Tamandua tetradactyla: one gene and its partner. The protein of the gene in region 1 interacts with the protein of each later gene in a biochemical or structural test. Links are inferred from orthologs where the notes say so. Each region holds a gene or a part of one and is shown on either strand. Other genes may lie near its edges. The genes, in order: KLKB1 and KNG1.

Region 1 (15,435 bases):
TCAGGTCTCTGCCTAGATATGTCAACAGAACTCAAGTCTTCTGCCTTTGATTTGGCCCTATTTCTTCTGAAATTCTTCTGTCTTTAGGGCAAAAAAAAAAAAGAAATCATTCATCTATATGTAGTAATGGAGTAGTACGTCATTTAGTTTAGGGTTTGCTGATAAAGTCAGCCCTCCAAACATACCCATCAGTCTGATAACTGACACACAGTCCACGAACTTAAATTCCATAGATAATACTTCGACCTCTTCACTCAGTGCCTTCTACAAACTTCTTTTAACAAGAATGCTTTTCCAGTGGATAGAGGTGAAGGCAGCACTATACTGTAAGTGTAATCAACAATGCTAAGTGTGAGTGTGGCTGAAAGGAGAAGTCTAGGGTTGTGTGTGTCACTGAAAGGAAAGCTAGAAGAAAACATGGGACTGTATAACATAATGAAACCTGTTTTAGATGATGACTGTGGTTAACTGTACAAATATAACAAAGTTCCTACATGAAAAAAAAAAAAAAGAATGCTTTTCCAACTTTCCCAAAGTAATGGCAAATAGAAGCACACATTAAGAGAATAGAATATGTACTCTTCAGTGGACATCAAAGGAAAAGGTTATGAAACAAAACCCACTGGGCAGATACTTCAGCATGTGGTATTTAGGGCTGGATCAGCAGCTTTCTGCACTTTACACCCCAAACAGCTCCAGTGCATACAATTCAATCCCTAAATTGCTGAGAAAACAAGGAAGTATTTGCTACAGTTGAACAACAGTTCACCAAATGGTTAACCTTGTTTTCTGGAAAGTGGGAAAAATGAAGCAAAGATTGCTCCCAGATGATTTAGGATAATTGTGGTTTTATTCATAGAAATCGGTATTATTTCTCAGTTTTATGTATTTAAATTTAAGCTTAGCCTCTTTTTTTAGTGATTAGACATAAAATTAGATGAAAAGTAAAACATTTCTTAATGTTACCTTCTGTTTTCACATCTTCATTTGGCCCCACAATAATTTGTGATATATGTTTTCATTGATAATTCATTTAAATCATGTCAAAATTAGACTTGAAATATTATGTCATGTTCTGCAGTATCAACATGCAGATGCTGATTTTTTTTTAAATAAGAGGAGGGATGAAATACCTATTTGTATACCTTATTACCTATCCTATTCTTGCTTGAAAGACGTATCTCGAGAAAAATAAAGAGATTTTACACATGGGTGCTGCATCTTATTTTAAGAATCAATGTCAGTTTGAAACATCTTGATAACTTGAAAAGATAAATTAGTGGGTGGCTGATGTCTAATGAGTAATGAAAGAAACAACATTTTAGAGTTTATGTCTTTGGTGACACGAGGTTTCTGATAAACTGTTCCTTATGTTATTGTCAAAGACTGATTTCAAGTTTCCACGAATCTGAATAATAAATAAGAGGCGGAATAGAAACATCACAGCAGTTTGCTCAGCTGATAGCAAAATATGAACTCGCCTAGGGTTTCCTGGGAATCAGTAAAAACCACAGGCATCCTTGGGATCCAGGTATTTGCAGTTGGGAAACCTCTCCAGGTGGCAGACTATTGAGTTGGTGCCCCAATCCCTGGCATAGACAATTGAAGAATGTCAGTTTTAAACCAACTGATGTGATTCACAATTAAGAGGTGCTAGTCAGAAAAAGAGCCTTATCTCTCATGTTTTTATCTAGAAGATCAAAATGTCTTCTTTCCAGCATCTAGTGGGATCACTGTGGCAGATACATTTTTTAAATTCCTGATCTGCCTAGAAAACCTCCCCACTCTTTCTAGGAAGAGCATCCTCATTTTTTAAATGATTGCATTCTAAATTCTCCCTTTTCTCCTAGTCTCCTCACCCCTTGCTTCCTCAGCACATACACACTGAATGTAAGCGGAGATAAAAGGTTTCTAGGGTGATTCCTCCCCTTTTGCTGTAAGTTGATGAATTCCAGCAGAGGCAAATAAGAGTTCTCCCTTTACCTTTTTCCAGCTGATATTGAGTAAGGGGCAGTTAAAATCCTTTGGAGGACACTTCAGGTTTGTGAGGCTTTGGATCAATTGGCAGGAGACGCTCTGGAGCAGCTGCTAGGAGTCGGAATGAAGCTGATAAGAAGCAGCAGAAGTAAGAACTGGAGAAAATCCTGGAGGGGTTTCAGTCCCATGTTCCAGGTGATTCTGAGGGCCAGCTCCTTCTTGCCCATTTTACTGTTAACTTCCTAATGTTGAATCCCTACCTTGGGATCCATTTTACTTAGTTTGGTTGAAGTCCATGGTCTTTCACTTTTACCTAAAAGCAGCTCAACGTTGGTTATGTTTGCTGTGGGATGAAAAAGGGACCCCATTCTTTGGGTATGACCTCATGTCTTCACACTCTTCTCTTTGTGTTCTGCAGTCACTCTCCTTCAGGTTGGAGCATCAACACAGAACATATGTCTTCTAGTTATGGAAATGCAACAGAGCTTGAGTAAGTGCAATGCTATGGTCTTTCATAAATGAAAGAATAGTAAAGGTACAGTGCTTCATTTTAGAACCTAGTAGTGCAACCTAGCACATCAGTCTAGTTTCTCAGCTCCAACCTGTTATATCACTAGACTGATTAGTCTGTTTTTCCTGTGCTACTTTGACCAAGCTCTGCTTGGTTTTTCTTTTGTTTAGCTGTATTGAAAATTGTAGAAAAATATCTCTTGTCTGTAGTTACCCACAGTGTACTGGTGACATTATTTCTGCAGTTTCTTATCTAAAGAGATCCATCAAATGGGTTATTTATTTATTTTGGGCAAATTCAGGGTTTAAATTATCTCCCAGTCTTTAGCTGTTCTTATTCCTGATGTTCTGGTCCTAAAAAGGACATACCAAGGCACTTCGTTTCTCCTTCCGACCATTGTCTTATCATCAGTTTCAATGCGGTTCACATTTACTGAGCTCTTCCCTTCTTAATACTTCTCAACTTAGGTTTCATGGGAAGGTTTTCTGAATAACGACCTTATGATACATTTTTCTGTCCTTCAAAAGGGTCATATAGACAGGAAAAATCTGTCACAATATTTAGATGTGATCAAGTGTCTTATTTTTATAAGTTTTAAGTATTTTAAATGCCATAAATAGTTAAGGTATATGATGTATCGTCATGATAAAAGATATGTAGGCGCAGAAGAAAAGCCTACTGGGCACTCCTGGGAATGGGACTTAACTCTTTTTTACTTGCATCCTTTGCCTCCTTTCTTACTAAAGTCACTCCCAAGTTTTCAGTTTTGGGCTTATGGAAGTACAGTAAATTAAGATGTCTAAATCACTCAGTATAATTAATTTCTTTTTATGGGCACATCATTGTAGGAGTGTGATTGTGCTTTGGTCTTTTCAGTTTTATATGCCTTAATAAATTGTAAACACAATCAACATTGTGAAGCCTGAAAACCAAGATCTAATGACGCAACATTGATGCCGTTGGACAGAATCTCAAGAGAATATCTGTTTCTACCAAAAAACATTCAGTGGAATCACAGCCAACCTGGCTTATTAATCCAACAATCACTTTCAATGCCACCGAAGGCCAGCGCTCATCTTAGTTTGCAAGGGTGATAGTGACTCTCATGTGTGAATTAGATGGTTCCCAACTGTGAATAAAGAGACTATCCTGTCTTCAATCTAGTGTGTTTGAAAATCACATACTTTATAGACAGTGACCCAGTATGAACATATAATTCAATATTCATTTATTTATTTATTCATCATTTCACATATTCATCCCATAAATATATGTCCAGCAGTATTCAGGGCTCTGGAGAAATAAAGCAAACAAACTGAAGTCCCAGCTCTCATTGATGATACCTCTTGCAAAGTAGTAGGAGTATTAGGAGCATAAAAACAATATACAAACCCACAATAGGTTACAGATGTCAGGCAGTGATGAGTATTGTGAGCAAAATTAAAGCCTGATAAATAGACAGGCATAATGGAGCAGACCCTTTTAGATGGGGTATTGAAGAACAGCATTCCAAAGGAGGTGATGTTCGAGCAGAAGCCAGAATGAAATGAGCTGTGTGGGTAGCTGGGAGAGGGGCATTACAGGGAATGGGGCAAGTACAAAGGACTTGAGACTGGAGAATGTTTGATGTGCTCAGAGAACTGCGATTAAACCAATGAGACTGGAGCAAAGTAAAGAGGGGAGAAATTGCGAGGAAACAAAGGCAAAGAATTAGCTCGAGTGTGTGTGTGTGTGTGTAAGGGAGTGGTCTAGACCATGCAGCTTCTTATATTAGAATACTGGGTTTTCTTAAAATATTATTTGGGGTTAACTTCCTGGGGTCCCACTATAATATAAACATACTAACATTACATGTGAATTGTAAGCTTGTAGAGGACAGTGGCAAGATGCTCACCAGTCCCATTTCCTCTTCCTAAATGACAGCAGGACTACATTTCACAGCCTTTCTGACAGTTCAGTATGAGCCAAGGGCCTAAATTCTGCCTATGGAATGTGGGCAAAAGTTCTGACTATGGAATGCAGGCAAAAATTCTGACTACGGAATGCAGGCAAAAGTTCTCGCTATGGAATGCAGACAAAAGCCTGACCATAGAGAGCCCTGTGTGCTTTATCTCTCATTCTGCATTGACTGTGGAGGCCAAATGTTGAAGGTGGTGGCACTGCAAACATGAAAGGAGCTTGGCTCCCTGGATCCCCACTGGAAAAGTCAAGAAGGACAGCCACCCAACCCACATTGGATTGCGATTCTGAGAAAGACAGACACATTTTTTTAGCTGAGTGAAATATTGTGGTGGTTTCTTATAGAATTTGCTAGTATCACTCCAATATGCAGGGCACGTGTAAGAGGTTATCAATTTTAACATCCCATTTTCCCCTTTTAAATATAAAATCATGCTGTTTTATGTGACTTCATACGAGAACACGGAAAATCCAAGATTATTTCTACTCTGCTATTTTCCTCCAGTCTTTTCTGTATTACCCTTCTATTCAGTGATTAAATCCTGTTATTGGGAATGTAAGTACAGGAAGGTGCTAGATAGAAAAATAGGCTGCATTGCTAACGATATTTAAATTTTCTTATTCTTATTTCTTGAATTAAGGGCTAAGTCCTCTATCTTTATTCTCTAATGCTGTCCACAAGGAGCACGCACAATCCTCACAGAGATATCCTCCAGCAGTGCTACAGGAGAGCAGCAGGGAGAGGAGGGAGGAAGCTGTTGCAATAATAGAGGGGAGAAAGGAGGATCGTGGCATGAACAGGGTCACTGTGAAGAGGTTCCCTCACAGTTAAAAGATTTCCTTCATCCTGGTGCTGCTCATTTCCTTCGTGTGTGTGTGTGTGTGTGTGTGTGTGTGTGCGCGCGCGCATGCTGGATGGCAGCGATCACATTCCACTCTTTCCATGTGAGTATCCCGTTATTGCAGCACCATTTGTTGAATTGGTTTTTGTTTGTTTGGGGAGGTGCATGGGCCAGGAATCGAACCTGGGTCTCCTGCATGGCAAGCGAGAATTCTACCACTGAGCTACATTTGCACCCCCTACCCATTTCCTCTGTGGCTGGGTCTCTCCACTTAAGCCCCTGCACAGAAACTGCTGTCAGAAAAAAGTCTCAAGAGTCAGGCAGACTGACTCTGCTCCTTCAGGGTGACATTAAATCAAAATGATACTGCAACTCCTTCACCTCACAATTGTGTTGGTCTCTTTGTGGGTGCTGGTGGGGGTGGGGAGGAGGCACTGTCCTTCGCATGGTCCACTCTGGATCCCAGAGCTGCCTTTTGCTAAATGGGCCACTTTGTGGATCATTCCAGAGCTGCAGCTGGTCTTCATTCCTTCCCTCAACCTCAAGCCATGGGTCTCCATCGCCTGCACAATTATCTAAGAAAAATGTAAACATCAATAAGCACAAGGTTGCTTAGAATAGCATCCCTTAGAGTTGCACAGGGAATGGTCTAACCAATCCTTATGTGGCAGCACTGATAAGATTTTCACTATCAGCCCAGCAGTCTTTTCACTGGATTAGAATTCTTTTCTCACTTACACACACACATACGCAATTCCACTTAGACAAAGTCTTTATGAGTCATAGACTTTATTGAAGGATTGGGGAATAGAAACTTGATGTCTCAGTAATATATATATGTAAAAAAAAAATCCCTCAACCATTTCCAACTGCTTGGGCTCCAGCATTTGGTGGTTTGCTCATGTCCCATGAGCAACTTCCCTCCAGTGTCTTTCAATTCCTTTCAGAGAGTGAGTTGACCCTCCCTTTATTCTGCCCTCTCCTTCCAGAGATTACCTGACCACAAGGACATGATAGCTGGTGTGTTAGGAAATACATTTTTATACCACTATAATCCTCACTGAGGTGCACTGAAGAGGGCAGAAACTGAAATATGACCTTCCTAGGGATACTTAATGTCCTAGCAGAAATCTTTCAAGAATCAAAAGTATATCACCAAAGACTTTCTCAGTGAATGGAAGCTTCTTTTCTTAGTGAGCAGCACAAGGTTGATTTTGTCCCTGTTTCTCTCCTGAGGGCTTATGTATCTCCTGGCCACACTGCAACTTCGTCAGGCAATCAGTCACAGCTGTTTCCTTTTTGGAAACCACAGGTTCTTTTGCAGGTCCCACGGCAGACCACCACTTTGCCTTTGGCCCATCCTCCCCACCCAAGACTCCCAGGGCCTATCAGGGACCCTCCCTCCTTGCCTCAACTCAGAAGTGTCCAGCTCCAAGCCCCCTCACTCTCTCTAGGACATCGTCAGTTCAGATAAGTATTAGCCTCTGTATTAATTTTCTCTTCTGCATAACAAATTACTATAGTCTTAGTGGTTTAAGACATTCATTTATTATCTCACAGTTCTATAGGTCAGAAATTTGGGCAGGCTTCACTGGCTGGTCTGCAAAGGGTGTTTTGTAAACCCCAGATCAAGGTGTGGGCCACACTGGCCTCATTCAAGTGGTTGGTAAAATTTAGTTCTTTGAAGTTGTAGGATTGAAGTCCTGTTTTCTTGCTGGCTGGTGGCCAGGGACATTCTCAGTTCCTGGAGGCTGCTCTCAGGTCCTTGTTCCATAGCCCCCTCCATCTCAAATCCAGCAGTGGAGAGCTTCTCTTGTCGAGAATCTGTCTCATGCTGTAAATGTCTCTGACTTTTCCTTACGCTAATATCCAGAGGGAACTGTCTGCTTTGAGAGGGCTCATGTGATTAGACTAGGCTTGTCTGGATAATCTCCATTTTGATTAGCTCAGCGTCAACTGAATAGGAACCTTAATTAGACCTGCAAAATCCTTTTTGCCATGGAACATAATGCAATCACGGATGTGATAGTTCATCATATTCAGTCTCTGGGATTACTGGGGAAGTATTAGGGAACATTCTAGAATTCTCCTTTCTGCCTCTTTTCGACTTAATTCTGATTCCATTCTCTTAAATGGACAAACACATTTGGGGCTTTATTGTACTACTAGAATATAATTTATATTTCACTACAAGAAAAATTTCAAGTCAAACACGGAAGCATTTAAATAGGCAAAACCCGTAATTTCACCTTTTAGAGAAACACCCTCTGATGGCTTCTACTGTAATCTGGAGGAAGGGTATTTTCATCTTAATCATCTTTTCTCCTGTTGAGGCTGGTAGCAGATGGAATCCAAGGCTTAAATTATTTAAATTATTTTATATTGCACAGAGAAGAGGTTTCTCTTTTGTTGGTAACTGGTACGCCAGTTGATAGCCTAAATCTACAAGGCAGTGCAGTATACATTTTTGAAATACACCTCTTCATTATAACCAGAAAATATTTTATCTGCAAAATTATCCTACATTTCTAGGAAACACAGTTATGTGTTGTAGTAACATGCATAAAATATTTATTGAAGATTCAGCTCCCCCTAAATCTAACTTTACTCCCCAGAATGATGTACCAAATTTCTAAGAGGGGCAAGAAAACAGAGGAGATTTAGTAGGCAAATGATTATAATCTCTAAATATTTAAAAAAGCATAGGAAGAGTCATAAATTATTTTGTGTGGTTCTAGTAGATATATCAAGGACTAAATAATAGTGGCTGCAAGGTGGTATATTTTAGGATAAAGGGAGACTTCTTTAAAACAAATGAAGAGGAAGAAGGAAAAAAAGAATTGGAGTTCCTTAAGCAGGAATGTACTCTTGAAAAACCAGTGATTTCCCTTCAGTGAAGCATCCTGACAGGGAAGGCTAAACTCCACACAATGAGTGGTTTAGCACAGGTTTCTCCAACTTTTTCAGTAAAGGGACAGACGGTAAATATTTTAGGTTTTCAGGCATACAGTCTCTGTTGCAATTATGTGTTTGCAGGGCAAAAGTGGCCATGGACAATCATAAATGAATGGGCATGACTGTGTTCCAATAAAACTTTATTTACAAAAACAAGGGCCAGGCCAGATTTAGTCCATGGGCCATGTTGATCCCTGATGCAGTAGGTTTCCTGAATTGGGTGGGTAGAAGATCTAAACATCAATTAAAATCTCTTCCAAATGAAAAGCTTCAGTGTTATATTATTCTTTGACTTGAGTACAGGAAGGTATAAACGGCATTTACAAAATTTCCCTCCAGGATGAGCTGTTCATACCCACCTTTTATTCAATTGTGCCTCCAGGCAACTCAAATGGAAAAACTCCAAAACAGATAAACTCTAATCTATCCAACCTCAAATAACCGGGATGTAGTGAATATTCCAAAGCGCCGAAACTTGGGCACGAATTGTGTGGCCCTAGGATGAAATAGTTAATCTATTAGAAAAGATTGCTGAGCTCAGCAAAGGGATCATGGAATATTTGAATAGAACAAAATACTGAAACTGTTGGCAGATAATCAATGTCAATATTGGAGCCAGGCAAATATTGTCTGCAGGGACCCATTAGGAAAGCTTGAGGGCAGTCCATTTTTAAGTGGCAAGAAGACATCCTCACCTCCAGAACCACGGAAGCAATTGTGCTTTCAGGTAGAGAATTTCTATTATTCTGATTGCTTTCAAATAAAGTGGTGTTTTTAACTATAATTTTTACAATATGAAGACGCTATTAGTTACATATTCTAATTTCCCAAGTATTTTAGAAGTAGGAGGAATTGGTGTTCTTACATGTGAAAATACTTAGGTGTAAGATATTTTAAAACCAAAGAGAATATTTGACAGATTTTGAAATTAGAAATGGGTTTGAATTTTCTCAGAGCTTTTCTTTACTTAGGCCTTCTGGACTGTGTTATTGCTATTATTTACATTAATTTCATTTTTGCTAAAATCAAGGGGTTTCACAACTATTTACTTTCTCTCTATCCAATTCCCTTTCCAAAATGATTAATGACATGCTGCAATCAGCAACAAATATGATAGTTGTCTAGAGTTTTCCATTTATATCTTCGGAAGCATTCCACGTTTTCCAAGTCCCTGCACAGAAAATAGACAGAAAGCCCTTGTTCTCCATACTGGCGATTGTGTGCTCAGATTTGCAGTTAGGACATTTGTAAGAAAATCTGCACCGCCTTACATTAAGATTCATGTTGAATATGATCCACAACCAGCAGAATTATGCAAATGTTGTTTTCATTTTTAGGATGATTTCATTCTGGCAAGCATCCTATTTCCTTTGCTTATTTGGTACGGTGTCCTGTGGTAAGTAAATGGTCAACAGGGCATAAAGCTAAGGACGTGAAAAAGAAGGGTAGTTAAGATACACCATGCTTAGATGAAACTACTAAACACACAGCTTCAGGGAAGTAGGCAGCCCTGGAAAAGTCAACAGCTCCTACTGCTTCAATGTGTGGAGGCCAGGACCTCTTCCCAGATCTACTGCTGTGGACACGTATCACACACCTGGGCCAGGGGAGCTCCAGAGTTCAGAGTAACATATATGTGCAACCAGAAACTAGCATCTGGAAATAACTCTCTGCAAAGACAATTTCAGTACAATTAGTCCTCTACTTTTTTTTAAATCAACATTCTTTTCTTTTAAAAAAAAAGTCAGCTATACTTGAATATTCAAGAATGCTAGGCATTTTAGAGTGTCTGGCAGTGGGTGCATGGCATATACTTGCACTTTTTTAGGCCACTAGGGAACCAGTTTGGAAATGAAAGTTCTTGACTTAAATTTAACTTAGTAAACCATCCATTTGAAAATCTTTGGCTGGATATATTTCCTCACCAGGATTTGGTCTTATTACTCTCTTTGTCCATTCCATTCATTTTCAGAGAATAAGGATAATTCTGTACATTGCTTTTCACTAGTAATTGCAGAGTGGAGTTTTCTCTGTACGACCACAAGGGGTTAATTCTGAGTCCATGTTGACATAAGATGGCCACAGATGCGATGGCTGTTTAGTTACGATTCAGGTGTATGGCTAAGATGACCCTGTTAGTAAGGTTTATATTTGTAAAGAGATATAATTTCTTCAGGAAGACGCATTTTGAAGCTTTTATTCCTTAATCACAATGCCATCTGTCTCTTCACTCCAAAATGATCTTCTGAATCACAATAATTACAATATAAAAATTTATTGAATACTGAGAAAGAGTAGAAGCCAGAGATACTGTGGACCAGGACCAGAGCCACTTCAATTTTATTCTTTTGGCAAAAAAAAGCTGATCATGATGGGAAAATGCAAATAAGCAGGAAATGAGAAACTGTATATGTGGAGATAGCCATTGTTAAAAATCCTTTGTTTAGTCTTTCACATATTTTTCTATATATGCCTATTACACATTTTAAAAAGATGTTAAATATAGATGTTCTTTTACTCTTATGTACCCCATTATGTCTATCTTTTCATGCACATAAATATATATCACTTTTGGGGTGTTTAGCATTTATTCCTATTCTTGATATTTTTGTATGTGCATTCTCAGACATATATTCATTACTTTTTCTAGAATAACTTTTTGGAAATAAAGGTGTGAATAAAAATATTAGCTACAAAGGTGTGAATATTTTTGGAGGTTTATGAAGGTTTCATGACAGGTATGGATGAAATTATCTTCTAGAAAGTTTATTCCAAAGTTGACTTTTTCCAGCTGCATATATAAAGCACTCATTTTTTAAATTAATTTTTTAATTTTTTTAAAATACCAAAAAAACACCAAACGCAAACATTCTTAACGTTTGATCATTCCGTTCTACATATATAATCAGTAATTCACAATATCATCACATAGTTGCTTATTCATCATCATGATCATTTCTTGGAACATTTGCATCTATTCAGAAAAAGAAATAAAAAGAAAACAGAAAAAAATTCATACATACTATACCCCTTCCTTTCATTGATCACTAGCATTTCAATCTAAATTTATTTTAACATTTGTTTCCTCTATTATTTATTTTTATTCCATATGTTCTACTCGTCTGTTGACAAGGTAGATAAAAGGAGCATCAGACACAAGGTTTCACAATCACACAGTCACATTGTGAAAGCTATATCATTACACAATCATCTTCAAGAAACATGGCTACTGGAACACAGCTCTACATTTTCAGGCAGTTCCCTCCAGCCTCTCCAGTACATCTTGACCAGCAAGGTGATGTCTATTTAATGCATAAGAATAACCTCCAGGATAACCTCTCAACTCTCTTTGGACTGTCAGCCATTGACACTTTATTTTGTCTTATTTCACTCTTCCCCCTTTTGGTCAAGAAGATTTTCTCAATCCCTTGATGCTGAGTCTCAACTCATTCTAGGGGTCATTTATCCATTCTTATGTCAACTTCATAAGATATCTGCTGCTTTGTGCTTGTGGCAGTTTGGAGCCATGTACCATGGAAAAACATGTTCATAATCTTAATCCATTCCTGTGAGGGTGAAACCTTAGAAAAGGACCTTCAGATGAAGTTACTTCAGTTAAGGTGTGGTTGAGATGAATTAGGATGAGATCTTAATCCTTTTACTGAAAGTCTTACAGGAGAAGCCAAGGAGAGAGAGAGAGAGAGAGAGAGAGAGAGAGAGAGAGAGAGAGCAAGCCAGAGGGAGTAGCCAGAGCTGAAAGTTAACAGAACCTGGCAAGGAGAGGCCTCCATGTGCATTGCCATGCAACAGAGAACCCAAGGATCAAGAGCCACCAGCAACCAGTACCAGAACAGTCTTCTGGGCAGAAGCATCACCTTGAAGATGCCTTCATTTTGGACTTCCCCTTGCCTCAAAACCATAAGCCAAAAAATTCCCATTTTTTAAGACAATGAAATACATGGTATTTGTTTAGGCAGCTAGGAAACTAAAACAGTGGTCCACATCATTCACCTCTGGGAAGGTATATTCTAATTTACTTCTAGGGAAACTGCACTGGTCCCAAAGTTTGGGTCCATGTGGTTCTGGTGATGCTTTCTTTGCTTCTGACTCTAGGGCTTGGGACCCAGCCAGGTAGGAACTAGGTAGGGCACACATCCCATAGGCCACAGTGGCCCTATCTGAGCCAAGACTTTGCAATAAGATGTTTGCTTAGATTTCTAGAAATGATATTCAGTGGTTTTCAATTAGGCCTGAACTAAGAGAGAGTGAGAACGTCTAAGCTGCTGGTGCTATCTTGATACCAGGTAGCGCTTGATACAAACAGCCATACAATGGAGTAGAACAAGATGGAGGCCAAGTGGGTCCTGATGGGACTGGCTGAGCATGACACATTTACTCCTGAAGTCAGATGTACCATAAGCTTCATGGCTTCTGAACCAATGAACTTGATTAGGATTTAAGCCATTTGAGCTGGGTTTCCTATTATTGGCAACCAAAATCAGTACATCAACACTGGGTATTTAGACAATTTTTTTATCTGCTATTTTATCAAATAGCATCTAATTGCTTTAATTTGCTTGTATATGAGATATTTGTGATTTTTCTTATACTGTTCTAGTTTGCTAGCTGCCGGAATGCAATATACCAGAAACAGAATGGCTTTTAAAAAGGGGAATTTAATAAGTTGCTAGTTTACAGTTGTAAGGCTGAGAAAATGTCCCAGTTAAAACAAGTCTATAGAAATGTTCAATCAAAGGCATCCAGAGAAAGATAACTTGGTTCAAGAAGGCTGATGAAGTTCAGGGCTTCTCTCTCAAGTGGAAGGGCACATGGTGAACAGTCAAGAGTTCTTTTCTCATCTGGAAAGGCACATGGAAAACACGGTCAGGGTTCCTCTCTCATCTGGAAGGGCACATGGTGAACGTGCCATCATCTGCTAGCTTCTTCTCCTGGCTTCCTGTTTCATGAAGCTCCCCGGGAGGCATTTTCCTTCTTCATCTCCAAAAGTCGCTGGCTGGTGGACTCTGCTTCTTGTGACTATGCCATTCTGCTCTGCTCTCTCTGAATCTCATTCTTCAAAATGTTTCCTCTTTTATAGGACTTCAGAAACTAATCATGACCCACCTAAATGGGTGGAGACATGCCTCCAGCTAATCCAGTTTAACAACTGCTCTCGATTACATCACATCTCCAAGGAGATGATCTACTTACAGTTTCAAACATACAATGCTTAATAAGGATTAGAAGAAATGGCTGCCTTTACAAAATGGGATTAGGATTAAAACATGGCTTTTCTAGGGTACATACATCATTTCAAACCAGCACATATACTTACTAGTCATTTGTATTTATTTTGTAAATTATCTTTCTTATATCCTTAGCCCATTAAAAAAAACCTGATTTCCTTCATATCATTGATCATATACCTTCTTAATAAGAGAGAACAACCTTCCCAAATCCATGATTTGGCCAGTGTGAAAACTGCAAGCCACAACCAGGATAACTTACACAAGAGTGCTTCACATATACTCTAAAGTACATTTCAAGTACAAGACAAAGATCACTGATTTATGAGGATAGACAAAAGAGTACCCATTGGAATTTTTTTCCAGTCACCCCCAAAGCTGGCATCCTTGTGTGTGCTGAATCACGTGGCAGCCCACACAGGCTTGATTGCAGAATGAGAACCCCTTGGCCAGCACCTGCCACTACTTGTGTGTGCATACTTGGAAGGAAGGGCAGAGTGCTTGATAATTATACCTCAGTCGAAAACACCAATTATCTGAAAGAACAAGCTTCTTTCCCGTGACCAAGTCCTCAGTGTTTTGTGTGCATAGAAAATCTAGATGTGCACAATTGGGAACTGGTATTCTGAAGAGAGCTGGGCTCTTTTCAAATATAAAACCTTCCCCAAGGGTGGTCCTCTTAGCCATACCCCTGAGAGGAAGAGGAAAACTCTGCTGTGTTTGGGAGTCACAGTGGGGTTCAAAGCCAGAATCCTGAGACTGGTGGGATTATACAGAGAAACTTTAATCTGCTGTGTTTAATGCTATCTAAGCGTCCTGTTCTCTGGAAGGCAATATAATGACAGTTATTACAAAAATCGGACAGTGACTATTGGCTTGGAGGGGGGATGAGTGATGTCATCATAGGAATATGGGGTGGTTAATAGTCAGTTCACTGACAAAAGTGAATGTGCGATCTGAATTGGAAAGCTTAAGTGGATGCTGAGGTGAGTTTTTCAAGTTAAACCAAACTCATGTATTAAAAAGACTAAAAGTAACACTTAATTCCCTAATACTACGTGGGGTGAGGCACTTCTGAGCTGCGGATAATTCCAAAGAGCAGATAGTTCAAAGTTTATTTTCTTGAATTTGCTTAAAGTACCTAAAAAATGAGCATATAAAAACTGAACATATATAGCCTCCTCTGCAGTTATCTCCAAAGTAATAGATAACCAATAAACATTACTTGCTTAAATTTATCTGAGACTGATGATAGATATTTAACATTGCACAATAGAGAAAGGAAGGAATCTGGGATTAAGAAGTGGGTTCACGCCACAGGGCACTCATTAGCTTTGTGTTGTTGGCCATGCCTGACCCCACTGAGACTCAGTTATTTAACTCTTCTTCCCCCCAAATAAAGTCAGGTGCAGATTTAAAAAGGCTCCAGCTTTCCTTATAGAAATGTGAGAATTTAGTAAGCCTGTTCCTCAGGAAAGTATTTTTAAAAATAGCTCATATATAATTTTTTAAGGCATACAGTCTTCACAGCACATTACCTGACAGGGAGAAATCAAGCTAATATTGTATTTCATTAGGGATAATTTATGTACAAATTATTATATAATTTAGTAAAAATCAAGTTTTTCAGACCGAAGTACCCAGAACGTAACTTTAAGTAACATTACACTTTGTTCAATAGAGCAATAAAAATATATTGCTTTAATATCTTAATTCTATTCATTTCTATAGTCAGGTTGTAAAGTTGGGAATTCAGTGGAAAACGAAGGTTCAGAATGCTGATGGGTTTCTATTAAAATCATCACTTGCATGCATTTCAAATTAATGTTGTTGCTGTTGTTTTTTAATGAATTTACCACAGGGTGCATGACTCAGCTCTATAAAAACACGTTCTTCCGTGGCGGGGATGTAACCTCTGTGTACTCGCCGAGCGCTGAGCACTACC
Region 2 (16,188 bases), on another chromosome or scaffold:
AAGGGGTATGGTATGTATGAAATTTTTTCTGTTTTCTTTTTATTTCTTTTTCTGAATTGATGCAAATGTTCTAAGAAATGATCATGATGATGAATATACAACTATGTGATGATACTGTGTGTTACTGATTATATATGTAGAACGGAACGATCATATGGTAAGAATGTTTGTGTTTGTATGTTGGTATGATTAATAAATAAATAAATAAAGAGTTTAGCTGAAAAAAAAAGAAAAGAAATAGATTGCGCTTATGAAAATAGCCCTGTTCTCCCACACGCTACTCATCCATTGCTTTCTGGGTATTCCTCAGGAATCCCCAGCTGTCTATTATTTAGTCTTAGATGTGCAAGAATCTGACTGTTCAGTCCTATCCAGGAAACACTGGGATGAGTGTGAGCCAGATGTTTCCAGACATCCATCTGAAATAGTAAGTAAACCTGACACCCATTCCTCTGCTCCCGGCATTCTTAACTTCTGTTTAATTTGTTTACTCAGGGAAGCCATATGCCTGGGCTAATACAGCAAAACACTGAAAAAAAAGCTTCTACCTCCAGACTCTTGAAGACTATACTGAACTTGAGTAATAATCTCTCAAGAGCCATAACTGGGCACCCAGTTTAAGATAAGTCAGTAGGACTTATAGTCTAATGGGATAGCATGACCAGCTGTGAGACTTTGGGAAAATCACGTAATGTCCCTAGACTTCAGTCTCCTCAACTGTAAATTAAGAGGAGGGGTTTGAAGCAGTTGGACTCTAATGTCCCCAGCCCTGACAGTATATTATGGGTCTAGGAACCTATGAACTTGTAAATTGTGTTCTATGAATACTGGTTATGGCCAAAGGGATTCATTGCAGTTACAATGAGGAATAGTTCTGCATACTGTACACGGGTCCTCAGAGACCAGGCTCTCTGCCACACGTGGAGAACATAAAGATGAATAAGCACCAGTTTAAGATTTCTTTTCCAGAAGACGAGAGATTTCCACACCTACGAGTAGTAGCAATTTTTTCTCTATTGAAAATGTTTAGGATATGATCAGGATCTGCTTAACAATGTCTCTCCTATTCTTATGAGGGCTTGTGGGTGCTTGTAGCATTTGACACACAGAGACGGACTTAGAAAGTGCAGATTTTAAGAGAGGATTTGAGGAAGGAGGCCTCAAATAAATGTGAAATGAGAGTAGGAGTATGCTGCATCATCATTTGTTCCCTTAGATCCGATCTGAGGAAGCCATTAGGCAATGACACAACACCTCTTTCTTACAGGTGATTGGGCAATGTAAGGTGATAGCCACAACACGTTCAGATGAATCTCACGACCTCAGAGTGAATGACTTTAACTGCACCACCAGTTCTGGTATGGTAATCTGTTAAAATGCCAGTTACTTCCAGAGTAAGGTAGACTTCAATTATACAGCGGTATTCATCATATAATACTATGATATGTGTCAAAAATGGCCCCTAGAACAAATGTTGGAATGAATTTGGTTTGAAATGCTGGTGATCGATGAGGGTGTGGGATGGGGGATATGGTATGTATAATCTTTTTTTTTTTCTGTTTTCGTTTTATTTCTTTTTCTGTTGTCTTTTTATTTCTTTTTCTGGTTTGATGCAAATGTTCTGGGAAGTGATGAATATGCAGCTAGGTGATGATATTGTGACTTGCTGATTGTGTATGTAGAATGGAATGATCACATGTTAATGTTTTAGTTAGTTTGTTGTTAAATTTTTTTAATTAATAAAACAAAATGCCCACCTACTCTCATGGATTGGATTATTACCTTCCCAAAAATAGAGGGAAGAGGGTTTCTGCCTGTTACTTTCCTTTAAAGAAATTCTACATATAGAAGTAGAAATTTATGAGAGGCAGTATAACACAACTGTAGAAGCATGTTCTCTGGGGTCTGACTCGCCTGAGATTCAGTGCTAACCTCAACATTTATTATTTGTGTGGTCTTGGACAAGTTACTTAACCACTCTTAGCCTTGGAGTTGGTTTCCTTATTTGTAAGTCAGGGCTGATAATAATATTAGTCCTAAAGATCCCTGTGAGGTTTGAATAAGATGGTCTATGTAGTACAATTTGCAGAGAACCTTGCACCCCGCAACTACTGTCTTCAACATCTAATAGCTGTGTAGCACTCTAAAGTTTATGAAGCACTTTTATATATGCATATGTTATTTCATTTAATATTACAAGGTTATGAAGTGAAGAGTATACTTTCTATTTTAGAAATAAAATAAATGAGGCTCAAAGATGTTCAACAAGTTGGTCTAAGAAACAGCCAAAATGTGGTGAATACATGACTCTGTCCCATCAATTTTGACTCTAAATTCCACATTCTTACTTTTTTGCAAAAATTGATTTAAAATAAAAAACACATAAGAATTTCTTTAAACATATGAGTCAATAAACAAAAATTCAACAGCCAAGCAGCCTCTTCAGGTGGTTGCCTCAAGGAAAAGCTGACCCGTGTCCTCTCCTCATTCTGGGCAAAACTTTATGTTAATGATGCCACTTAATGGCTGGGGGACATCATGACAACTTGGTCATCAGAAGGATCTGAATTTTAGTCTGGTTCTGCTGCTGCTTGGCTATATGACCTTGAACATGTTACTGAGCCTTGCCAACCCTCAATTTGCCCATCCATTACACCATGCTTATATGTATTAAGTCCAAGCACTAACACTGCCATCTTCTTTCTCCAGTCTCTTCTGCATTGGCCAATACCAAAGATAGTCCTGTGCTCGTAGATTTCTTTGAAGATACTGAGCCCTACAGAAAACAAGCTGATGAAGCTCTTGAGAAATACAAAAGAGAGAACAATGATTTCACTTCTTTTAAGGTGGACCAAATGGAGAGAGTTTCAAGGGCGGTGAGTCTCCACTAATGTCCAACTACAGCCTAAGGACCCAGTTACAACCTGACAGGCCCATACTGAGTGGCACCTAGCCCCTCTACCTGCCTCGCTTGGCCAGTGGCATCCTTAGTCAAGGCTCCTCATGCAGCTTTGGGGCTATACTAGACAGGCAACAGACACCAAGGAACTGCCCTCCTGCAAGGTTTTTTGTTTTTGTTTTTGTTTTGGAGAGGGGAGGATATGTGAAGGAGAGGAAGGAAAATCTATAAAAGAAAGAGGGTAAGACAAAAGAGCATATTAGAGTTATGTGAGTCATTGGAAATCATCCAGTCCTAACCTCCTTATATTATGATGGCAAACTGAGGCTCAGAGACACAACCAGTGGTATATTTAGAGGTTGATGATTTCCCTGCCTCCCATCCAGAGTTGTCTTGAACAACAACTGGTTGGTGTGTGTTAAACATTTTACAAATGCAAAGTTAAATAAACTATAGTGCATAAAAACAATGAAATGAATGTACAGTTATTAAAAGAACATTTGTACCTATAGAAAATGGAAAGAGTTAAGACATATTGCTAAGGGGAAAAGCATGTTACATAAGAAAACTTAGACTAGGAGCCCATCTGTATTAAATAATTGGATATATGTGCATATGTGCAGTACATTTATGAAAAGACTAGAAAAAGAAACACATCAAAGGGATGATGATGGCACTTCTGGAAAAGAGAGACAGGATGTAGGAAGGATGATTTTTTTCTTATTTTATTTATCTCTGTATAATTTGAACCTTTTTCAATGAAGTGGTAGTCATTTGATCACTTAACATGATCAAAAAAAAGGTAGACACCATAAGAAAAATGGAACCTGTTGCTGATTTTAAATTTCCATAGTGCTCTACAGTGAATTTGACTGAGGTATCTACTGCTTTTTTGGTACTATTATGTTTTACTATTTCCTGACATTTACTATTATGTTCCTGAAATTGTTTTGACCCAATTCATTTCAGAGAGGAGGAGAAAGAACCGGTTACTATTTGGCCTTTTCCGTGAGGAACTGCTCCAAACACCATTTTCCCAGGCACTTGAATGTGAGTATAATGAAAATCTGTAAAATAATAAGTCACATTTAGAGAGCACTTATTATGAGCTAGGAACACATCTAAGAGGTTTATACATTTGTTAATTTACTTGATCTTCACACAATCCTATGTGAGAAACTATTTTTAATCTGATTTATAGGTAGAGAAACCGAGACTGAGAGCAATTTGGTTAATCATGATAATACGATTTTATAATATATATATAATTATACCTAAACTTAAAAATAAATCATTTAAACCATTAAGATTCACTTAAACTACCAGCCAGCTTGTAATAAAACCATCACATGTGGTTTTTTCATTTGCTTTATCTCATTTATTGCTCACAATGATCGCATTTGACAAATGAGGGGGTAACTGAGCATTCAGCAAAGTAAGGATCTTGCCCAATGTTCACAACAGAGCTGAGATTAGAATCCATTTCTCCTCATGGTCATTCCAGGAAGATCCATCTCAAAGCTGGCTCCCTCCATTCCAATATTTTCCTCCAAGGGGCCAGTTAGTTGTCTGAATCCCTCTTCTACACTGTTCCTCATTGGCTCCAGGCATAGGCAACTCAGGTGCCCCCAAAGCAAGTCAGCACTGTTGTGGTATTCCCCACAGCCTCCTGCAGAGCAGCCCAGTCCTGGTTACTGCTCATGGAAGAGAACCACGGCAACTTATGATGAAACACCTTGGAATGTGCACTTACTGTTAAATAACTGGTGGGAATGTTTGAAATTACCCTTATTTTTCTAAAGCTCTTCTTCCTCACCTGAATGTCTTGAAGTTCATGACTGCAGCTGGACACATTCACACCACCTGCACACACTCATGCTAACAGTTGTCTCTCTCCCTTATAGATCTTTGGATTCTGCAAGGCATTGTTCTTATATAGTACAGAAGCCTCTGACTTGGAAACCCCTGAAAATCTTCTAGTAAACTGTGAAGTCTTCAACCTTGAGGTGGGTTGCTGATCTAGTTTACTAGCTGCCGGAATGCAATACACCAGAGATGGATTGGCTTTTAATAAAAGGGGATTTAATTCCTTAGTTCTTCAGAGAAAAGGCAGCTAGCTTTCCACTGAGGTTCTTTCTTATGTGGGAAGGCACAGGGTGATCTCTGCTGGCCTTCTCTCCAGGCCTCTGGGTTCCAACAACTTTCCCTGGGGTGATTTCTTTCTGCATCTCCAAAGGCCTGGGCTGAGCTGCGAGTGCTAAGATGAGGTATGCTGAGCTGCTTGGGCTACACTACATTGAGCTCTCTCATTTAAGCACCAGCCAATTAAATCAAACATCATTCACTGCAGCAGGCACGCCTCCTAGTCAACTGCAGATGTAATGAGCAACAGATGAGGTTCACGTACCATTGACTTACATCCACAGCAACAGAACTAGGTGCCTTCACCTGGCCAAGTTGACAACTGAATCTAACTACCACAGCTGCCTAAGTAGCCTTTGTCACAAGCAGTGCCAGATTAAGTGGGAATTAATTCTTATGCCTCTATGTGTGTTGGAGGTTGGGGGCTGTTCTCTATTGCAGAGACAGAGTTTTGCCTAATTCCACTGCATGAGTTGTAGTAGATCAATAGAGAAATATGTAACTGGAGAAAGAGGGGAAAGGAAAAGAGAGAGAGAACAGGTCCATGGGGAAAGGAACGTAATTGCTGGCATGACACAAAAACTATGAAAACATTTGTCATGAATTGGGAAAAGTTGAGATTTTGGGCAGAAAAATAAAAGCACGACCCAATTCAGTCAGCCTTGAATCAGCTTGAATATGGAACTTTAGTCAGGATCCCACTGCTGAGACTTGATAATTGTTAGCTTTTATATTAGGCATACAACCTAACCCAAAGGGAGTAAATTGACCTCAATTTTATTATATAAAGGTATATAAAATAAGATGCAACACATAGTTTATATCTGTCTCAGAAAGTTTTGTTCTGTTTTATGGATGAGCACAAAGATGTCCTTCACAGTAATTTAATATTAGCAATAAAAAAAACCCTGAAAATAATTCATATGTTCAAGAATCAAGCCAAAAAGGGGAGGGGGGTACCAGTTCTGTCACCATGAACATGGCTCCATAGATTAAAAACAAACGCCTGAACAAGAAGTGCAGTAAAGAGGCAAAACATGTATCTTTAAGGAGGAAGGGATGCTTATATTAGAAAGCTTTGATCTCTGTTGAGAATATAAATCATAAAGTACTAGCTTCCAAATGTTGTTCTATATAATATAGTTTTGCCACTTTATTTTCAAATGAGGAAAGATGGTAGCAAAGAAAGTTTCTCATAACTCAAACTTTATCCCCATCTAAAGGACCAGCCTTTACTCAGACTATTTATTTCTGACCATTGTGTTGTCAAAATATTATTTCTTTTGTGAACTAATGGTGGTTGTAGATGACAGTTTTTGCCTGTATTTTAAATGCCAACTTGACTTGATAAAATTTTGATGATCTTTTGTTGTTATCCCACTTTTTAAATGGATTTTAGGAATCCAAAAGTCTAGAGCCATTGGTCTAAATCAAGGTAAACATCTAATGTCTCATTTTGTGTGAAATAGTGATATTCATTTTTCTGTGTTCTTTACCAGAAACATAAAAACTTCAGTGGCGGAGACCCTCATTTGGGTGGGCATGAGCATTCTCCTACTGACAATCGCCCATTTAAGCCCAATGGGTCCAGAGAGCACCATCATCCCTACAAGCCACATGAACCTGGATGCCCACCTCCCCTAGAAGATAAAGATCATCCAGATAGACCACCATTTCAAGCAGGAACTTCTCCACCATTGCCCCCTTCAGGGTCAAGATGTCATCATTCCCGTTTTGGCATGAGTAATACCCGTGGACCCTCTCCTAATCATAGTTCCAGTGAGCACCATTCTCACGGGCATCATCCCCATAGACACCGTCCCCATAGACACCGTCCCCATGGACACCATCCCCATGGCCATCATCCCCATAGCCATAATTTCCATGATTATGGACCTTGTGACCCACCAGACCACAGCAAGGGTCCCCATGATCACCATCGCCCACCACCTGAGAACTCAGAAGAAAGAGGTCCAGATAAAAGACACCTTCCCTTCCCTTGGGGATATATTGGTTATGTTTATCGACTCCCCCCGCTGAAGAAAGGTGAAGTTCTTTCTCCTCCAGAAGCCAATTTTCCCAGGTTCTCATCACCAAATCAGAACAAGCCCCGAAAGCCAGAGATTCAGCCCTTTCCTCAGTCGGCTTCTAAATCATGTCCAGGGAAGTTCAAGCAAGAGTTTCCACAAATCTTCAAGTTTTTTGCACAATAGCTCCAAAATAAAATCTGATTTCTTAGATGGAGAAAGATGAGTAATGTCATGAATTAGAAACACAAATAAAATGTGACCAGTAATAAATGCAAAATCACAAGTTATTTTAACCTTACTTTCACACTCAGGCTAGGGGGAAATGTGAGTAGGGAGCAGACTGCTTGAGAAGAGAGAGATAAATGGAAAGAAGAGGAAAGATTTCAGGGCTACAAGAAATCTGTCACATGGCCACATGCAAGAAAGGTTGGGAAAGGAAGTCTAGATGTATGTCAAGGAGGAAAGGGATATGAATTTAGTGACTATCTAGCCAGATACTGTCACAATCATCATTTTTTAGAGAAGGAAAAGGAGGCCCAAAGAGGTTTAATTAGTTGCTTAGGATCTTACAGTTGGTAGATTGTGAGACTTGGCCTTCCTCCAAAGCCACATTCTTTCCTTTTCATCCCACTGCCTGTACACACTGCCATGCCCTGAGTTTTGAGTTTTCATTTGTAAAACCACCGTTCAGCCTTGACTAGTTCTTCCTACCTCCTCCTGAACCAGGTACTCCCAGTTATTGCCTCACTCTTCCAGCTTCACCTGTTTCCTTCTCTGATGGCTCATCCTTCCTCTCAGCCTAAGAACTTGACCGAGTCTCATTCACTCTTAATTTTTTACAATCTATTTTCTTCTATCACCCTGAGTCTGAAACTGTCTCACGTCTCTCACCATGCACCTGAAACCACTTTAGTAAAATGTGCTATTGTTAACCAGCCCACTCTCACAGTGATAAAACTTGTAAGAACTAATTACCAGGCCCTGCATGGATGCTACCATATCCACTCTTCCAAAACAAAACAAAACAAAATTATAGTATGATTTTCTAACTTTTACAGATGAAGCAACTGAGGCTTGGAAAGGTTATGGGCCCCTGAGTTGCTCGTGGCCACACAGCAATTAGGTAGCCCAGCTACACGGAAACCCAGGTTGGATTTACTGGCAAAAGCTTGTTCCTACTGCTCTGTCACAGAGCCACCATTCAGCCCACACTGAGCCCTCTTTTCCAAAGGCTCTCAGGGAGACGGAATTACCGAAGTACTGTTGTTTGTAAGCTGCCACAATGCAATATACCAGAATTGGAATGACTTTTAGAAAGGGGAATTTAATAAAGTACAAGTTTACAGTTCTAAGAAAGTGAAAGTGTCCAAATTAAGGCACCAACAAGAGGTTATTTTCATTCAAGGAAGGCCAATGGGTCTGAAACAGCTCTGTCAGCTGGGTAATCATGGGGCTGGCATCTGCTGGTCCCTTGCTCCTGGGCTCCGTTGCTTTCAGCCTCTGTTTCTGTGGGGGTCTTCACTTTACTTCTCCAGGACTGGTTTTCATCTCATGGCTTCCCTTAGCTCTCTCCAGGTTCTGGCTTGCTTAACATCTTATGGCAACGTCTGATGGGCTCCAAGCATCTCCAAACATCTGTGTCTCTGTCCTCCACACATCCACATCTGTGTCAGCTCTGCTATGAAGTTTCTGTCACCTCTGAGGTGTCTGTTGTTTCTCTAGACAATGTAATTTAAAAGGTTTCACCAAAATGTTTCCCATTTAAAAGGATTCCAGTAAACTAATCAAGACCCACTTGAAATGGGTGGAGTCACACCTCCATCTAATCAAAAGTTAACACCCACAATTGGGTGTGTTCCATCTCCATGGAAATAATCTAAGCAAAAGATTCCAACCTACAATATTAAATCAGGATTAAAAGAAATGGCTGCGTCCACAAGATGGCATCAGGATTAAAACATGGCTTTTCTGGGGTACATAATGTTTTCAAACCAGTACAAGTACCAAGCTAGAAATCCTGTCCATAACAGGAAAGAACCCAACTGTCTTTTTATTTTATTTTACTTTTGTAAGGATTGAGGACAAGCATCTACCAAGAGCTAACCCAAGTCTTTAAACCTATCTACAGACCTCCTCTCTCTAGATAGTCTAACTTTATCAAATAGGTGGTGTGTTAGTTTCTTGGGCTGGTGTAACAAAGTACCCCAAACTAGTGACATAAAACACCAGAAACTTATTGTCACAAGTTCTGGGGGTTAGTAATCCAAAATCAAGGTGTAGGCAGGGCTATGCTCCCTCCAAAACCTGTAAGGAAGAATCTTTCCATGCCTCTTCCTAGCTTCTGGTAGCTTGCGAGCAAGCCTTGAGGTTCCATCTCTGTCTCAGTGTTCACAAAGCCTTCTCCCCCAACTGTCTCTGGCTCCTCTTCCCTTCTTATAAAGATCCCAGTCATATTGGATTAGGCCCCATTCTAATCTAGTTTGGCCTCATCTTACCTAATCATGTTTTTAAGACCTGTTTCCAAATAAGGTGGGACCTGGGGTTAGGACTTGATTATGTCTTTGGAGGGGGACACAATTCAACTCATCACAGGTTGTTTAGGCCTGGTGGGTAAGACAACCATATCCATGAGAACAGAAACAAAAAGCAAGCTGGAGCAGGCAGGATGTCATCAAACCTATCTGCACATATGCATCCCCTCTACCTCTTCCACTGGGGGAGCATTTTTCCCTTGCAGAATTAACACAATTGAGTGGAAAGAGGCTGGCGTGGCCAGAAACCAGATAGGATGCTTATACTTTATTTTCAGCCACACCAAGTTCTTGGTGAGGGACTCCCAGCACTCATTTGTTACCTCTGTGTATTGGCTTCCAAGGCATGCAATATGATCAATATGATTCAGCCTGCTTCTATGCAGATATCCTACAAAGAAATTTTATGTGAAAGTTGTGACTATACATCGTACACATTGTAACATTGTTCTTACATGCAGTGACCTTTGTAAATGGCTTTGGGAAAGTCATAAGAAAATAACAGAGCTGGTAGTGGGTTTTTTCCACCTCCTTTATTAGATACTCTTTTGATTTGCTAAAGTACTTTGTGCAATCACCTGGAAATATGCTCTGTGCTAACCTGTGCTTTCAGAATGCAAACAAGCAGGTCAGCGACCCCAGTGTTGTAATGTTTCAGCTCAAAATCTGTTTGGATAACCCAGCACAGCTGTTTAACCTTTTGGAATAGGGCAACCGTGTGTGCCCCAAGAGTCCAATCAGGCCTCCAGGGTGCTGGAGCAGAGCTAGAGAAAAGGACAGAGGAGAGAAGGAGTTGGAGATTGTAAAATCAGCACCCAAGCTGGCTGCAGATTCTTGGTGAAGGCACCCCTCAGCAACTAGAGGGGAGACCATTAAGTCATGAAATTAATTGTTATCATTTTCTTCTGCTCCAGGCTGCTACCAAGTCTGACTCAGGAATCCTCCTCACAGGAAGTTGACTGCAATGACGAGGATGTATTTAAGGCTGCGGATGCTGCCCTGAAGAAATACAATGATGAAAGCCAAAGTGGCAACCAGTTCGTATTGTACCGTGTATTTGAAGTCACCAAGATGGTAAGTGAGCTGTGTCTAACTTTGAGGTCATTTGGGACCTGGACTATCACTTGGGTCCTAGTTCTCTGCCTCCTAACTTCCCTCCCAAGAACTATCAGAGGTAGACTCTTACAACTCTTAGAAATGCATAATGCCACTCTCTGGCCTGGATGTGGCACGGTATGACTCGCTCTCAGGCCACCAGATTTGGCTGCTTGGGTGAGCAGAGAAGCTGTAAAAGCAGGGAAGTGAACAAAGACAGAGCATATGGATGGGATTAAACCAAGTGGGAGAATCCAGGAACTCAGTTGGGCCACAAGAGGATTCGTTGTATCTCTGACCCAAAACTAAAATCTAAAGACCTCCAGGTCTCAGTTGGGGAGGGAGCACTTTAGGACTCCTTAAAGAAGTGTCAGAAGGGAGATTAACATGTTTTACTGCTTTGGTCAAGATATCTCCATGAAGTCTGTATGGTTGACTGTATTAAATTAAACAGCAATGTTTTAGTTGGGCTTTGATTTTTTTTTTTTTTTATCACTGCCTTGATGATAGATTTTCACATAGAAGAAAATCCAGATAGGCTGAAACAAAGAAATACAAGTCTTTCAAGAGATTTTTATTTTTAAATAAGTTTCCCTATAAAAAGCTGTGTCTCTGGAATGGTAAAGCAATTGGTCACTACAGTGAGAAAAGAAAAACAACTCAACTTTTTGAAGAAAACAGCAGTGAATGTGTTTTTCTCTGAAAATAAAAGTAAAAATGACCCTTCAGTCTTCTTGGTGCGCTCAAGCTGCAGTTTAGTGGTTTTGTCTTTGCTCTCCAACATCATTGGCCAATGTGGTTTGTTGTTCTGAAATGTCCACATCATAACCTCTCTATCTTTAATTTGCCACGTGGGCACAGCCTGTACAACTACCACCCTAGTTTAGGGCGTATTTTCCAAGTAGATAGTTATAACTTTCAGTATTTTGAATGAACCTTTTGCTGTCATTAAATCAAATTATCAAAATCTGGAAGGAACCTTAGAGAACATGCTGTTTGACTCCATCCTCTCCTAGCTCCATCTTCTCCTAGCTATAAATACTGTGACCAAGCAGGCCCCAAGAAAGCACTGCTTGGGGTCAGGAGACCTGAGCTCTCTGCCTTTCCAGCCTTATGAAGGTAACTGAGACATGCCCTGTCTGCGCATGTCCTTCTTTCATTTGCAAAAGGAGGGGCTGGAGAATGTTACCTCTCAGATCCCTTGTAGCTCTAACATGCCAGGATTTTGCATCTGAAAGCTCATCTAAATCAGTACCTTAGTAGTTTAAAACTTTAAAGAATTATTTTATGACATCCTAGCAAAATTAGAAAACAAAGCTAATTAAATGCTAAAATCACCTATGCATAATTCCACCCTCCAGAGATACCTGCTACATTTTTAAATATTTATTTATTTATTAATTTAAAAAAAATTAAGAACAAACAAAAACATTAACATTAAATCATTCCGTTCTCTATATATAATCAGTAATTCTCAATATCATCACATAGTTGCATATTCATCATTTCTTAGAACATTTGCATCAATTCAGAAAAAGAAATAAAACGATAACAGAAAAAAAAAAAGATCATACATACCATACCCCTTCCCCCTCGCTTTCATTTATCACCCGCATTTCAAACTAAATTTATTTTAATATTTGTTTCCCCTATTATTTATTTTTATTCCATATGTTCTACTCGTCTGTTGACATGGTAGATAAAAGGAGCATCAGACACAAGGTTTTCACAATCACACAGTCACATTGTGACAGCTGTATCATTATTCAATCATCCTCAAGAAACATGGCTACTGGAACACAGCTCTACATTTTCAGGCAGTTCCCTCCAGCCTCTCCACTACATCTTGAATAACAAGATGATATCTACTTAATGTGTAAGAATAACCTCCAGAATAATGCGTAAGAATAACCTCTGGACTCTGTTTGGAATCTCTCAGCCATTGACACTTTGTCTCATTTCACTCCTCCCTCTTTTGGTCAAGAAGGTTTTCTCAATCCCTTGATGCTGAGTCTCACCTGCTACATTTTGTAAATGAAAAAATGATCTCTTTTTTGTTTTGTTTTTTTCCTATTGTAAAAGTAATTGCTTGTTTTTTTTAATGTCAGACAATACAGAAAGGTTTGTTTAAAAAAGAAAGTGAAAGGCAATTGTAATCCCACAGCTGAGAGACATTTAAACAGCTTGATGTATATACTTCCAGACCTGTTTTAGACATGCATGTACATATAAATCGGTTTTTACAAAAATATGCTAACATTATAGATACTTATTTGTAATCTTTGAAAAACATATTTATCAATATATTGTGAATATTTTCCAAGTAGATAGTTATAACTTTCAGTATTTTGAAAGAACCCTTTGCTGTCATTAAATCAAATCAAGATCGAATATTCTTGACTACATCAGATCTCACTCAAATTATTTGCTTTAGGGGCAGTTGTATGAACATTACATCTCTTTGGCTTCTTTCTTTCAGGATGCTCCCGACACATTTTATTCCTTGAAGTATCAAATCAAGGAAGGCGATTGTCCTGTTAAAAGTGGCAAGACGTGGCAGGACTGTGACTACAATCAAGCTGCAGGAGCTGTAAGTTTGTTGACGACTCCCAAGCCTCCAGTTTATTGACAGATTTTTTCACTTGTACAGAGAATGATTAATATTTTTATGCCAGCTTATGAGGGATGCACCCTCAACTGTGTAGGAAAGAACAGTATTTCATATCTATGTTCTTCCATAGACAGAAAGAGTATAGAGAGACCACCATTTAAGCATGGAGGAAACTTTCTCATCAGAAGGGGACTTGAATGACCTACTGGGGTATGTGCAGGTCCCAGAGAGACAACTGATCAATATTTGTGAAGAGCTCCAGGGCTGGCAGGGACAGAGTGTGGGTCTGTTCCCTTCAGCCCAAGTCTGAATCCTAACTCTGCCTGTGCTAGCTGTGTGACAGTGGGTTGGTGCGACCACTGTACAGACAGTATTGACCTGATCAGGTTGCTGGAGGATGAAATGACATAAACTGTGCATAAAACCTGCTTTTCCATGCCGAAATTTTTATTTGGAAGTTATTCAAACTTACAGAAAAGTCACAAGAATAGTTCAAAGAATTCTCAAAACACTTCATTGGGTTTCATCAATTGTTAACAGTTTGACATATTTGCTTTAGCTCTCTATATATGTACCTATTTTTTTTTTTGGAATCATTTGAAAATATATTGCAGACATGCCCGTTTATTTCTAAATATTTTTAGTGTGTATTTTTTAAGAACAAAGAGTTTCATTTTCATTGCAACAGTATAACTGTCAATATCAGAAAGTATAACAATGATTCAGCACCGTAATCTACTGACATTTTTCAAGTTTTGCCAATTATTTCATTAATCATTTATAGCAATTTTCCTTATTCTGGTCTAAGATAGTCCAGGACCATGTCTTGCATTTAATTTTCGTGTCTCAGTCTTTGTTGGGAAATTTCCTCAGCCTTTCTTTGGCTTTGATGACATTGACATTTTTGAAGGATCTTATTTGAAAAACAATGCCTAACATTTGCCCACCACACTATAGCAGCTTTTATATATTTATTTATTTATTTAGAAATCTTCACACACATGCCTTCTATCCACAGTATAGAATCAATAGCTCACAGTATCATCACATAGTTGTATATTCATCACCATGATCATTTTTAGAACATTTGCATCACTCCAGAAAAAGAAATAAAAAGAAAAAAGCATTAATTTTTTCTTAGCGTTAGGTGTGTTTGGCATTTACTCTTCATGACAAACCCGCAAGATAGATGTGACGTTTCTCCCACACAAATGAGTAAACCAAGCCTTAGAGAGGCAAAGGGGCTGGGCGAAGGTAACACGGTGAGCAAGTGGCAGAGCTGGGCCTGCACAGCACTTTTTTTTTTTTTAAGTAATCATTCGTGAGCCAGTGATACTCCGTATCTATGACCTCAATTTTTTTTTTTTTTTTACTATTTTGATAGTATTTATTTATTTATTTATTTATTTATTACATGGGCAGGCACTGGGAATTGAACCCGGGTCCTCTGGCATGACAGGCAAGCATTCTTGCCTGCTGAGCCACTGCGGCCCACTCTGGACAGCACTTTTTTGTCTCCACGTTCCCTGCTCTTTCTAATAATTGAAACTAAAGTTTATGCAAATGTAATTAATCCCCTGAAATTCAAGGGTGAGTCAAGAGGAGCACTTAGGCTGTTTCTAAGGCATTACATTTACCTTGGTGAAAAACAAACATTTCCGGGGCTCAAACAAAGATTGAAAACCACATCCTTTATACTACCTCTCCTCTGATTTCTCACATTTATTGGTGGCTTAAAAAAATAATCATTTGGCTACAAAAACATTCATTCTTGCGTGTCAACTCTCTGTCAGAAAAATCTTCACAAGTCAAAAAAAAAAGGAAAGTCATATTGACTGACAGCACTAGGCAGACTGCTGCATCTGAAAGACTGAAATGAATGGCCTCTCTTTTTTATGCCTCCCTCTACCCCCCCTTTTTTTTTCTCTTTAGTCCACAGGTGAATGCACAGCCATAGTGTGGAAGAGAGAGAATCAGAAATTCAATGTGAATCAGCAGACCTGCCACATCACTCCAGGTAGCTCATGTCTCCTGGGGCACTGCCCAGAGGGGAAATAACCATTCCTGCATGCCAGAGTCCAGGCTAGCCTGGGAGCCTGCCTTCTCTCCTCGGGGGTGGCATTAGCACTGCCAGGTGCAGCTCTGGGGTGAGCCAGTGCGTAGCTCTAGGGTGAGCCAGGGCGTGAGTGGTGCCAGGCTCATCCCATCATCCCCTCAGCGTCATTTCCCAACTCTCTTCCGATGAATCATTGTGTTATTAGTGGGTGGAATTGTAGGCAGCATCCCATAGAGAGAGAGAAGCATAGGTCTGAGATCAAAACTGGCCTGAAATCCTTCAAACCTCTTCACCGTCTTGGATCTCCTCTTCCTTTTCTATAGAAGAGGGATAACAGTAATTTGCACTTCACAGGAGTGTTGTGAGACTGAAATGAGATAATGGCCCTGAAGGGAGAACGCCTAGCAATCATAATAATGAATTAGAGAGAATAATGATGGAAGTAATCATAGCTAACACTTCAGCAATGTGCCAAGCACTTTACATGAATTAACATGTTTAATCCTGGCAACAACTTTATGAAGTAGATATTAATATCCCCATTTTACAGGTAAGGAAACTGAGGCCCAGAGTAATTAAGTAACCTGCCCAAGATTCCACAGCTAGTAGGTAGTAGAACTGGAATGGTACTCCCTCAGTACATGAAATTCCTTAAGAATACAATCATGGAGCAACTTTTTGACAAATATTAACACTTCAACACCTGCCCTAATGTGGCAGAAGTGCCAAGTGCAGAAAAATGGCCCTACCTAGGTGATGTCAGTCACTGAAGCCTTCCTGGTTCCGTCCTCTGGGTTTTATGGCTGAGGCTATGAAGCAGTATC

Evidence for each region.
Region 2: the proteins of KLKB1 (region 1) and KNG1 form a complex in vitro, tested with the Homo sapiens proteins (4 studies listed by BioGRID). The link is inferred for Tamandua tetradactyla from reciprocal best matches to the Homo sapiens genes KLKB1 and KNG1.

Annotation. Positions count from the first base shown.
Region 1 is NC_135352.1:26,245,655-26,261,089, reverse strand, and holds the start of KLKB1 (plasma kallikrein), read left to right. Parts: upstream 1-8,885; 5' UTR 8,886-8,971; intron 8,972-9,581; 5' UTR 9,582-9,582; coding exon 9,583-9,640; intron 9,641-15,351; coding exon 15,352-15,435. UniProt on the Homo sapiens protein: Participates in the surface-dependent activation of blood coagulation. Activates, in a reciprocal reaction, coagulation factor XII/F12 after binding to negatively charged surfaces.
Region 2 is NC_135336.1:5,689,506-5,705,693, forward strand, and holds the start of KNG1 (kininogen-1), read left to right. Parts: upstream 1-10,302; 5' UTR 10,303-10,481; coding exon 10,482-10,676; intron 10,677-13,176; coding exon 13,177-13,287; intron 13,288-15,240; coding exon 15,241-15,325; intron 15,326-16,188. Other genes in the region: HRG (histidine-rich glycoprotein), read left to right, coding at 311-427, 1,268-1,358, 2,710-2,876, 3,869-3,949, 4,804-4,905, 6,541-7,254. UniProt on the Homo sapiens protein: Kininogens are inhibitors of thiol proteases.